Rattus norvegicus: one gene and its partner. The protein of the gene in region 1 interacts with the protein of each later gene in a biochemical or structural test. Links are inferred from orthologs where the notes say so. Each region holds a gene or a part of one and is shown in the gene's direction. Other genes may lie near its edges.

Evidence for each region.
Region 2: the proteins of Flt1 (region 1) and Pgf are reported together in a solved structure, tested with the Homo sapiens proteins (2 studies listed by BioGRID and IntAct, with this or other methods). The link is inferred for Rattus norvegicus from reciprocal best matches to the Homo sapiens genes FLT1 and PGF.

Annotation. Positions count from the first base shown.
Region 1 is NC_086030.1:12,497,200-12,501,009, forward strand, and holds part of Flt1 (vascular endothelial growth factor receptor 1 isoform 1 precursor), read left to right. Parts: intron 1-432; coding exon 433-517; intron 518-2,652; coding exon 2,653-2,747; intron 2,748-3,810. UniProt on the Homo sapiens protein: Tyrosine-protein kinase that acts as a cell-surface receptor for VEGFA, VEGFB and PGF, and plays an essential role in the development of embryonic vasculature, the regulation of angiogenesis, cell survival, cell migration, macrophage function, chemotaxis, and cancer cell invasion.
Region 2 is NC_086024.1:110,554,907-110,558,808, reverse strand, and holds the start of Pgf (placenta growth factor precursor), read left to right. Parts: upstream 1-1,061; 5' UTR 1,062-1,365; coding exon 1,366-1,431; intron 1,432-2,538; coding exon 2,539-2,578; intron 2,579-3,902. UniProt on the Homo sapiens protein: Growth factor active in angiogenesis and endothelial cell growth, stimulating their proliferation and migration. It binds to the receptor FLT1/VEGFR-1. Isoform PlGF-2 binds NRP1/neuropilin-1 and NRP2/neuropilin-2 in a heparin-dependent manner.

The DNA of each region.
Region 1 (3,810 bases):
ATAAGATGAAGTCATGAAGGGGTATCTGCCCCTTATTTGTACCATTAAGACCCTTGGGCCAGGGGCTGGGGATTTAGCTCAGTGGTAGAGCGCTTACCTAGGAAGCGCAAAGCCCTGGGTTCGGTCCCCAGCTCAAAAAAAAAAAAAAAAAAAAAAGACCCTTGGGCCAGATGAGGTCTCACAGCTCCTCTATGACTAGCATGATTTGATTCCATTGGAGTGGGCCCTTCCTGAAGACTACATGTAAAGTTGAATTGACTACGTGGAGGAAGTGACGTTACCCTGAGGGTCCCTAGAGCATATGAAGGAGTGAGTCTGAGCCGGTTGGTATTTTGGTTGCTAGGTGGGATCCACTCAAGTTCCAGAATGTGCTGATTCATCGAAGGAGTGTGCCTTTTCCTACCTTGATTATTCTTTCTACTTCTTCATTAGATACGTAAACGCTTTCAAATTCATGAGCCTGGAAAGAATCAAAACCTTTGAGGAGCTTTCACCAAATGCCACCTCCATGTTTGAAGTAAGTCATGACAATAACGACGCAGTACTTCCTGTCAGAAATCTCTCCCTGTCTAACACCTACCCCAAGGCAGTGCCTGGCCAGTGAGGGCCAGTGATCTGAAGAGGCCAAGGTTACAGTAGGGGGGAAGAATAGACGCCAGACTTCACTGTGCAGAGCTGATGTGAAAGAGAATGCCACAGTTTGAAGATCTCCTGGAGTTCATTCTAAAGCCATTCCATTCCACCAGCTCTCTAGAGGGGAAGAGGTGTGGCACAATGTGTGTTGCCTAGAATTCTTGTAGGCTAACAATGATGCACCCTTCTTTCTTTAAGAATATAAGATGTGTGAGTGACTGGGCCTTGAGATACAACAGAGGCCTTGTGCAGAAGTCTGAAAGAAGTCCACGTAGGCCCTAGGCCCCTTTAGCAGAAGGCTCTGCAGCTGAGCAGCCATGTTCCCCCACAGTCACACTGGGCAAAGCACACCAGAGTAACCTGGCCAACCAGCAGCTTCTGTCAGCAAGTCTATGGAAAGGCCCTTGAATGGAATTGAGTGGGCTCCTGAGACAAACACAGTGTCGTAATTCAAGAGGAGAAACCTTGAGGCTGGGAGCTGGAGAGATGGCACAGTCGTTAAGAGCACTGGTTGCTCTTCCAGACGATCCTAGTTTGGTTCCCAAAACCAATATGGTTGCTCACAGCCATCTGTAACTCTAGTTCCAGGGGACCTGAAGCCCTGACCTTGGGTACCTGGCATGCATGAAGTGCACATGCATGCAGGGGGAAAAAAAACCCCATATGTATAAGACCTGAACCTCATCAGACTCACAAAGGGTCATGGTGACTTCAAAATATAAAGGCATTTCATTGTAAGCAGTAGGATGCCGGGATAACGTAGTTAGAAATTTTGTGCGGTGGCTCAGTAGTTCAAGTCCCCGGAAATCTTGAGCCAACCTCAAAATTTCTCAAGTTTAGGCTAGCCCTAAAATGTGGCAAACGGTGACAGCACTTTCACTGCCCTGGTGTACAAACAACCCAGTAAGAGCCTCAGCGGGAGGCAGAAACAAAGTGGGACTCCACTTCCTGTTAACAGGATACAACACACCATAGTGACAGTAATGAAAAGCGAGTAGAGAACTCGATGATGACGGTGACTGAACCACACAGTTCCTGGAAACTGTGTCACATAGGGCATACGCCATATGCAAATATGCACACATGGCAAATGCCAGACTCTCTCCGAAAGAAAATTATTCCGCCACATCTATGATTTCCTTGAAATTTTACGTACAACATCAGAGTCCTAGCCAGGTACCAAAGTTAGTTTTAACATGATAATTTGCATACAGGATAATTTGCATATATAATTTGACATATGATAGTGAGTTTTACATGGAAAATACTAAGCAGTTACATACGATTTTCCATCCCAGGTATGTGTGTGTGTCTATGTGCATGCTGTGTGGACCTGCGTGCCTGCCCCGAAATGTATGTGTGGAGCCCATTGACCAAGGTTGGGTGTCTTTCTCAGTTGTTCATCTGACTGGGGTTTTGGTTAATTGATTGGTTTTTTTTTTTTTTTTTTTTTTTTTGGTTCTTTTTTTTCGGAGCTGGGGACCGAACCCAGGGCCTTGTGCTTCCTAGGTAAGCGCTCTACCACTGAGCTAAATCCCCAGCCCCTAATTGATTGGTTTTTAAAGACGGGATCTTTCAGGGAATCAGGAGGTCACAGTTGGGCTAGACAGGCTGGCCAACAAGCTCCAGGAGCTACCTGTCTCCATCATCACCTCCCACCCCAAGGCCTGTGGTGACAGACATGGGTCACAATGCCTGACTTTGATGAGGACTTTGAGGTTCTCATGTGTGATTGGCAAGCACTTATTCCACCGAACCATCTCCTCAGACGCCATGATTTCCTTTTAATTTTCTTCACCTTCTAGAAGGGTCTCAAAGTTGCCCATAACAGGCACTGTTTTTCTGATGAGCTCAAAGATGCCAGGGCAAACAAAATGCTCAGTGCTGGTGGGCAGAGGCTGTGTTTGCTGAGGACAGCACTGGGCCACACCTCAGAGGTGCCTCCAATGTCTTCAGAGTCACCGAGGAGCCTGCCGGGCCAGGCAAGTGGGTCACCTCCCCCTTTCCTCCCTCCCACAGGACTATCATCTGGATACCAGCAGTCTGCTGACCTCCCCCTTGCTGAAGCGATTCACCTGGACTGAGACCAAGCCCAAGGCCTCAATGAAAATAGAGTAAGAAAGGGGGTGTGAGAGGGGGAGGGGAAGGGTGGGAGTTGGGGTGGAGGATGCCAGGAAAGAGGGCTTGTGAGTGAGATGTTTAAGGCTACTTGGCCTCCTGGTGTTTGGGCATGGTAGAAAAGCAACCACCCCCCCAGAGGGACAAGAAAGGGGTCATAAAATTAAGACATATGAACCCCAGGTTCTGTGACAAGGAAGACTGGGGCTTCTTATAACAGGCAGGCTGAGCCTGAGAAATATGGGACCTTGGTGGAAAGGAGCCAGATGTGTCCAGCTGTGGAGGAAGGGTTGGGACGTGTTCACAGACTCACGAGACAACACTTCCCATTTCTGGTCCCTGGGCTAGCAGGGTCTACACAAGGAAGCACAGTCCTGTTTGTAACCTTGAGAATTCAAACTTCTACAATAAGGGTTTTCTGCATCCTGCTGAACCCATTACCCGCATCTCACTTGTAGATGTTCCCACAATCCCCTGGGGCTTGATCCATTGGGCAGTTCTTCCTTCCATTCTGGGTCATTTCGGAATCACCAGGCCCGGGCTGTAGAGTGGACTGGTAGAGATGACCTCAGTGGTTCTCTATGCTGAAGGCTACCCAAGCCTGGCCACTTACCTTCCTACCCACCTACCTTTCCTGGCTCGAATGCCTGGCTCTCAGCTGTGGCAAAGAGCAGCACTGACTGCTCTTGCCGAGGACCCCATTTGACTCCCAGCACCCACGTGGTGGCCAGCAGCCAACTGTTAGCTCTAGTTCCAGGGCATCTGACACCCTCTTCTGGAGTCTGCAGGCACCAGGCACACGTGTGGGACACATAGATACAGGGGAGCACGACACCCACGCGCATAACAGAACACCAGGCTGCCAGTCCCGGTGCTGTAGTTGACTGAGCCTCAACTGAACTCCTACAAACCCCTCCAGTGATGGGATTTGCACAGTCCACCAGGCCACTGGAAAGACGGGCACTCCCAGGCAGATATTTGCCCTTTCCCTGTGATGAAGTCTCAAAAGAAGGCCCTGGTGTCAAAGTCACAGAGTAATGGACCTCAGTGTGTGCAAAG
Region 2 (3,902 bases), on another chromosome or scaffold:
TCATGCCCAGATATTCAAACACACAGGACACACACTGGCAGGTAACATACTTACTATCCCATCAAAACATAATCCAGACACAGAACACACACACACACACACACACACACACACACACACTCACACAAGTACGCAGAGATACCCAAAGACCCAGATCTGTGACACACGGTGTGTCACATACACACAGCTTCATAGTTATACACAAATGCCCATGCAGACACCACCCTCCCTCAGCACGTCCCTACTGCTTTAGAACACTTCTTCTTCTACTTGGGCTCAGGAGGCGATGCCAAGTTAGTCCATTCCCTACCTCTGATAGGCTGGCCTGGCCCGACAAGAGGAAGTGGTTGTAGAGCTGGGTCTAGCCAGGTGCCCCGGGGTGTTTCCTGTGTGCCACCCACAGCTGGGCTGCCCTGTGCCTGCCTACCGGGTCAGATAGTAGATGGAATAGAGGGACGGTTCTGGAGGCACGTAGCTTGCCTTCTTTCTCTGCCAGATCTCTGTCCACGCAGGCAGATGCCCGCGGGCACACAGACACTTTTCCTAGCGTGAATATGAACATTGTTCGTCATCTGCAGGTGGTGCCCTCTCACCGGATCGGGTTGTTAGTCTATAAAATGGGGTTAGTAATCCTTTCACCCCCTCCTCCCGGGGTTGTATGGGGACAGCACTGGTCGTGAAGGGCCACAGCAAGATGCTGCCTTCTTAGGACTGCAGTCCCTGCGGAAGCCACTAAAGTATCCAGCCATCTCCAGGGCAGATGTTGGACGTCCGCATCTGGAAGCTCTAGAAGAGCCAGGTGCAATCTTGGCCGTCGCTGCGGGCTGACCCCGGGGCAAGCTAACGCCTAGCTTCCAGGGGCCTAGAGATCTGCACCCGCAGCGCCCCTTCGGCGCCCTGCGGGGGTCACGCGCACTCAGGTCTCACCGCCAACCGAGCTCTCAGCGCTCCGAGCTGCTCCTGGGGCCTCGGGCTCAGTGGGCGGGGCAGGCTGCAGCCCCGCCCCATGCACAGCCTTGAAAACCAGCGGCCGACTAGCTTCAGTTCATAGGGAAGCTGCAGTCTGAGAAGGAAACTGCGTCTTCAGACTTCTGCTCACCCACGAGAGGAGCTAGGGTCATTGGACACCTGAGACCCTTTCACATCTCTCCAACTCACCGGGACGCTCCTCACTAGTTTCCTCAGCCACAGCCCTACCTGTGAGCTCCGGACTTTCCCGGCTTCCAGTGGATGCTCAGGCAGACTGCAGAGACTCAGGACAGCAGTGAACGGGACACCCATCTCCTCCCCTATCAGCGTCTCCTCCTAGGAGGACGGGCATGGTGATTTTGCCTTGAAGGACCTTGGCTCTGGACGTCTGAGAAGATGCTGGCCATGAAGCTGTTCACTTGCTTCTTGCAGGTCCTAGCTGGGTTGGCTGTGCACTCCCAGGTAAGAACCTGGCCTGGCTTCCTCTTGACCATCTCATCCCAGCCATAGAAACAGGGGCTATGGTCTTAAATTACAGACTCACTTTAGAGAGCAGCTTCTGCTAGGATGCCCACATATTTCCCAGGGGCTGGGCTGGACCTCAGGGAGGAGACCTCTGGCTGGGCTGTCCCCAATTCCTGGGGGCTGTCTTAGTGGGGGCAGGGAAGCCACAGGGAATGAAGGAGGTTTCCTGTCTGGCCCCTGGAGCCCTAGTGGCTTTGCAAAAACCATCCTTCCACTAATCCTACTCAGTTCCCTGGCCCTGTGGTCAGGGTTGTGGCCCCATGACCAACCAGGCGCCCCCAGGACCTCTGACCTGGCCTAGTGGGGAAGGAGCTGTAGCTAAAGAAGCTTGTGGTGGGGAGATGAGGCCCTTCCCCCACCACTGCTCCAGTTGAGCAGGGGGCTCTTGGGTGGGCTTCAGATAGGACAAGGGATCCCGCCATGCCCTTCCTCCTGGTGGGTGTCAGAAGGTCCTGAGTGCAGGGCCTGGGGAAGCGAGCAGGGCCCTTTTCCCAGGAGCTGGGTGAGTCTGGCTGCGAGCCAGATTGGGCAGCAAAATCCTGACAAAGCCAATGCATTCCCTTCCTGCTGCACTGCCCGCTGCACTGCCCACTGCCCTGAGAGCCCTCAGCCCCAGCCCAGGAGTGGGTGGGTTGTACAGTCCCCCTTGCCGAGCAGCCAGGCCATCATCCTGCTTGCTGCAGTGTTCGCTCGAGGTGTAACGTTACTGGCAGGCAACACCAGCTCCTGGCGCCGCCTTCTCCAGCCCCTGAGCTCCCACCAGCTGATCACCTCCCCCTGGGCTCTGGCACCCAGCCAAGGCGGGCTGTAGTAGGCCCAGCAGGGCTGGCCTGGGGGCTGGGTAGAAGAGAGACCCCACAGGATTACAAGCACTCTGGAACCCCAGAAACCTCCTCCTACCCTTTTCCAACTGAAGAAACTGAGGCCAGAGAGTCAGGTGGTTTTTAGCGGCAGATGGGGAGGAAGGAGCTCAGGGTGGGCTCAAAGAGCTGAGCCCCAAGAAGATGCTCCCTCCTCACAGCTCCACCTTTGTGTCCACCGCAGGGGGCCCTGTCTGCTGGGAACAACTCAACAGAAATGGAAGGTAAGCCAACCAGGCCAGCTATGCAAGCTGAGCCCCTCTCTTCTTTCCTCTTGAGCCCCAGCAGAGGAGAAGGGATTGGTCTGAAGGGTGGGAACAGGCCGATAGCAAGCTGGAGAGGGTCTGTAAGCTAGATATCATGGCTGAAGCCCAAGAGTTCACCTCTTGTGACCCCGCAGCCTAGAGAGGTGCAGTCATGGGTTAGGGTCACCAAGCACACAGAAAGCGCAGGACGTGATGGCTAGGGTTCTTCCAGCTGGCTGAGGGCCCCTGCCCAGCATGCAGTAAGGTGCAGATGGAGTCTTGGTGAACAGGATTTGTGTTGAGTGCCAGAGGCCAGACTGGAGTCTGGGAGCTGGATATCATAGGAAAGCAGTCAAGGGGCTTGGTCAGGACGAAGAGTCCTCCCTACCATTCCAACCCTGGTGGAGCTGTGCAGCGCTGACCAGGCCTTTCCATTGATTACAAACAGGCGGGCTCTGTCACACCCTCCCTGGCCCTTTCACTCTCTGCCCTGGGTTGTGTCAAGACATAATCTTCAAAGGGCAGTGGGACCTTTGCCAAAGAGAGGAGCGCGCCGAAGGCAGGGAGGGAGATCATTCCAGGCCCTTTCTCCTTCTCCCTTCCTGCTTCTCAGAGACGTGGATGATGGCCACATACCATTTCGAGGTTTCTGACAGCACGGGAGAGAGGAAGGATGTACTTGTAGCAGTGTCCTCATAGGCACAGATAATAGCTGGATTGCTTTTTGGGGCTGGGAACTGCCTGCTCTCTTGTCTATTCACCAGCCCCCTGGGAGCAGCCCCTCTTCTGCCTGCTCTCACATCTGAAGCCCAGACCACTGGGCTTCTACCACTGGGTAGAGAGGTAGCTGCCTCAGCTTTAGGAACTTGCCCGTTTTCTGAGCCCTCCGGAACTGGCACAGTGTTATGCTCCCCCGGATCTGAGGAGGGTCGTATCTCCCACCCCTACACCATATCCATTATTGAGGACTTTTGTATGTAGAGCAGGCACCAGCTTTCAAAGATGTCTCAGCCTCTGTTTTTTCATCTGTAAAATGGGAGAGCTCAACTAAGTTCTTGAAATCAAAGACTCTTTTCTAACATTGTGAGATCCTGAGTCCTTGGAAGAAACGTGAATGTATATTACTTCCCAAGATCCTGGGTGAGAAAACTTGGAGGTATACATTCAGAATGTAGGTCAGCTCACCCGTAATCCTAACAGGCAAGCGGGCCTGCGGTGTGGATGAGGAAACACCAGCTATTCAAATCTGGTATTACCATCCGCTCCTGCCAACACCAGAGTCAGAGGCAGTGTGGTACAGCCG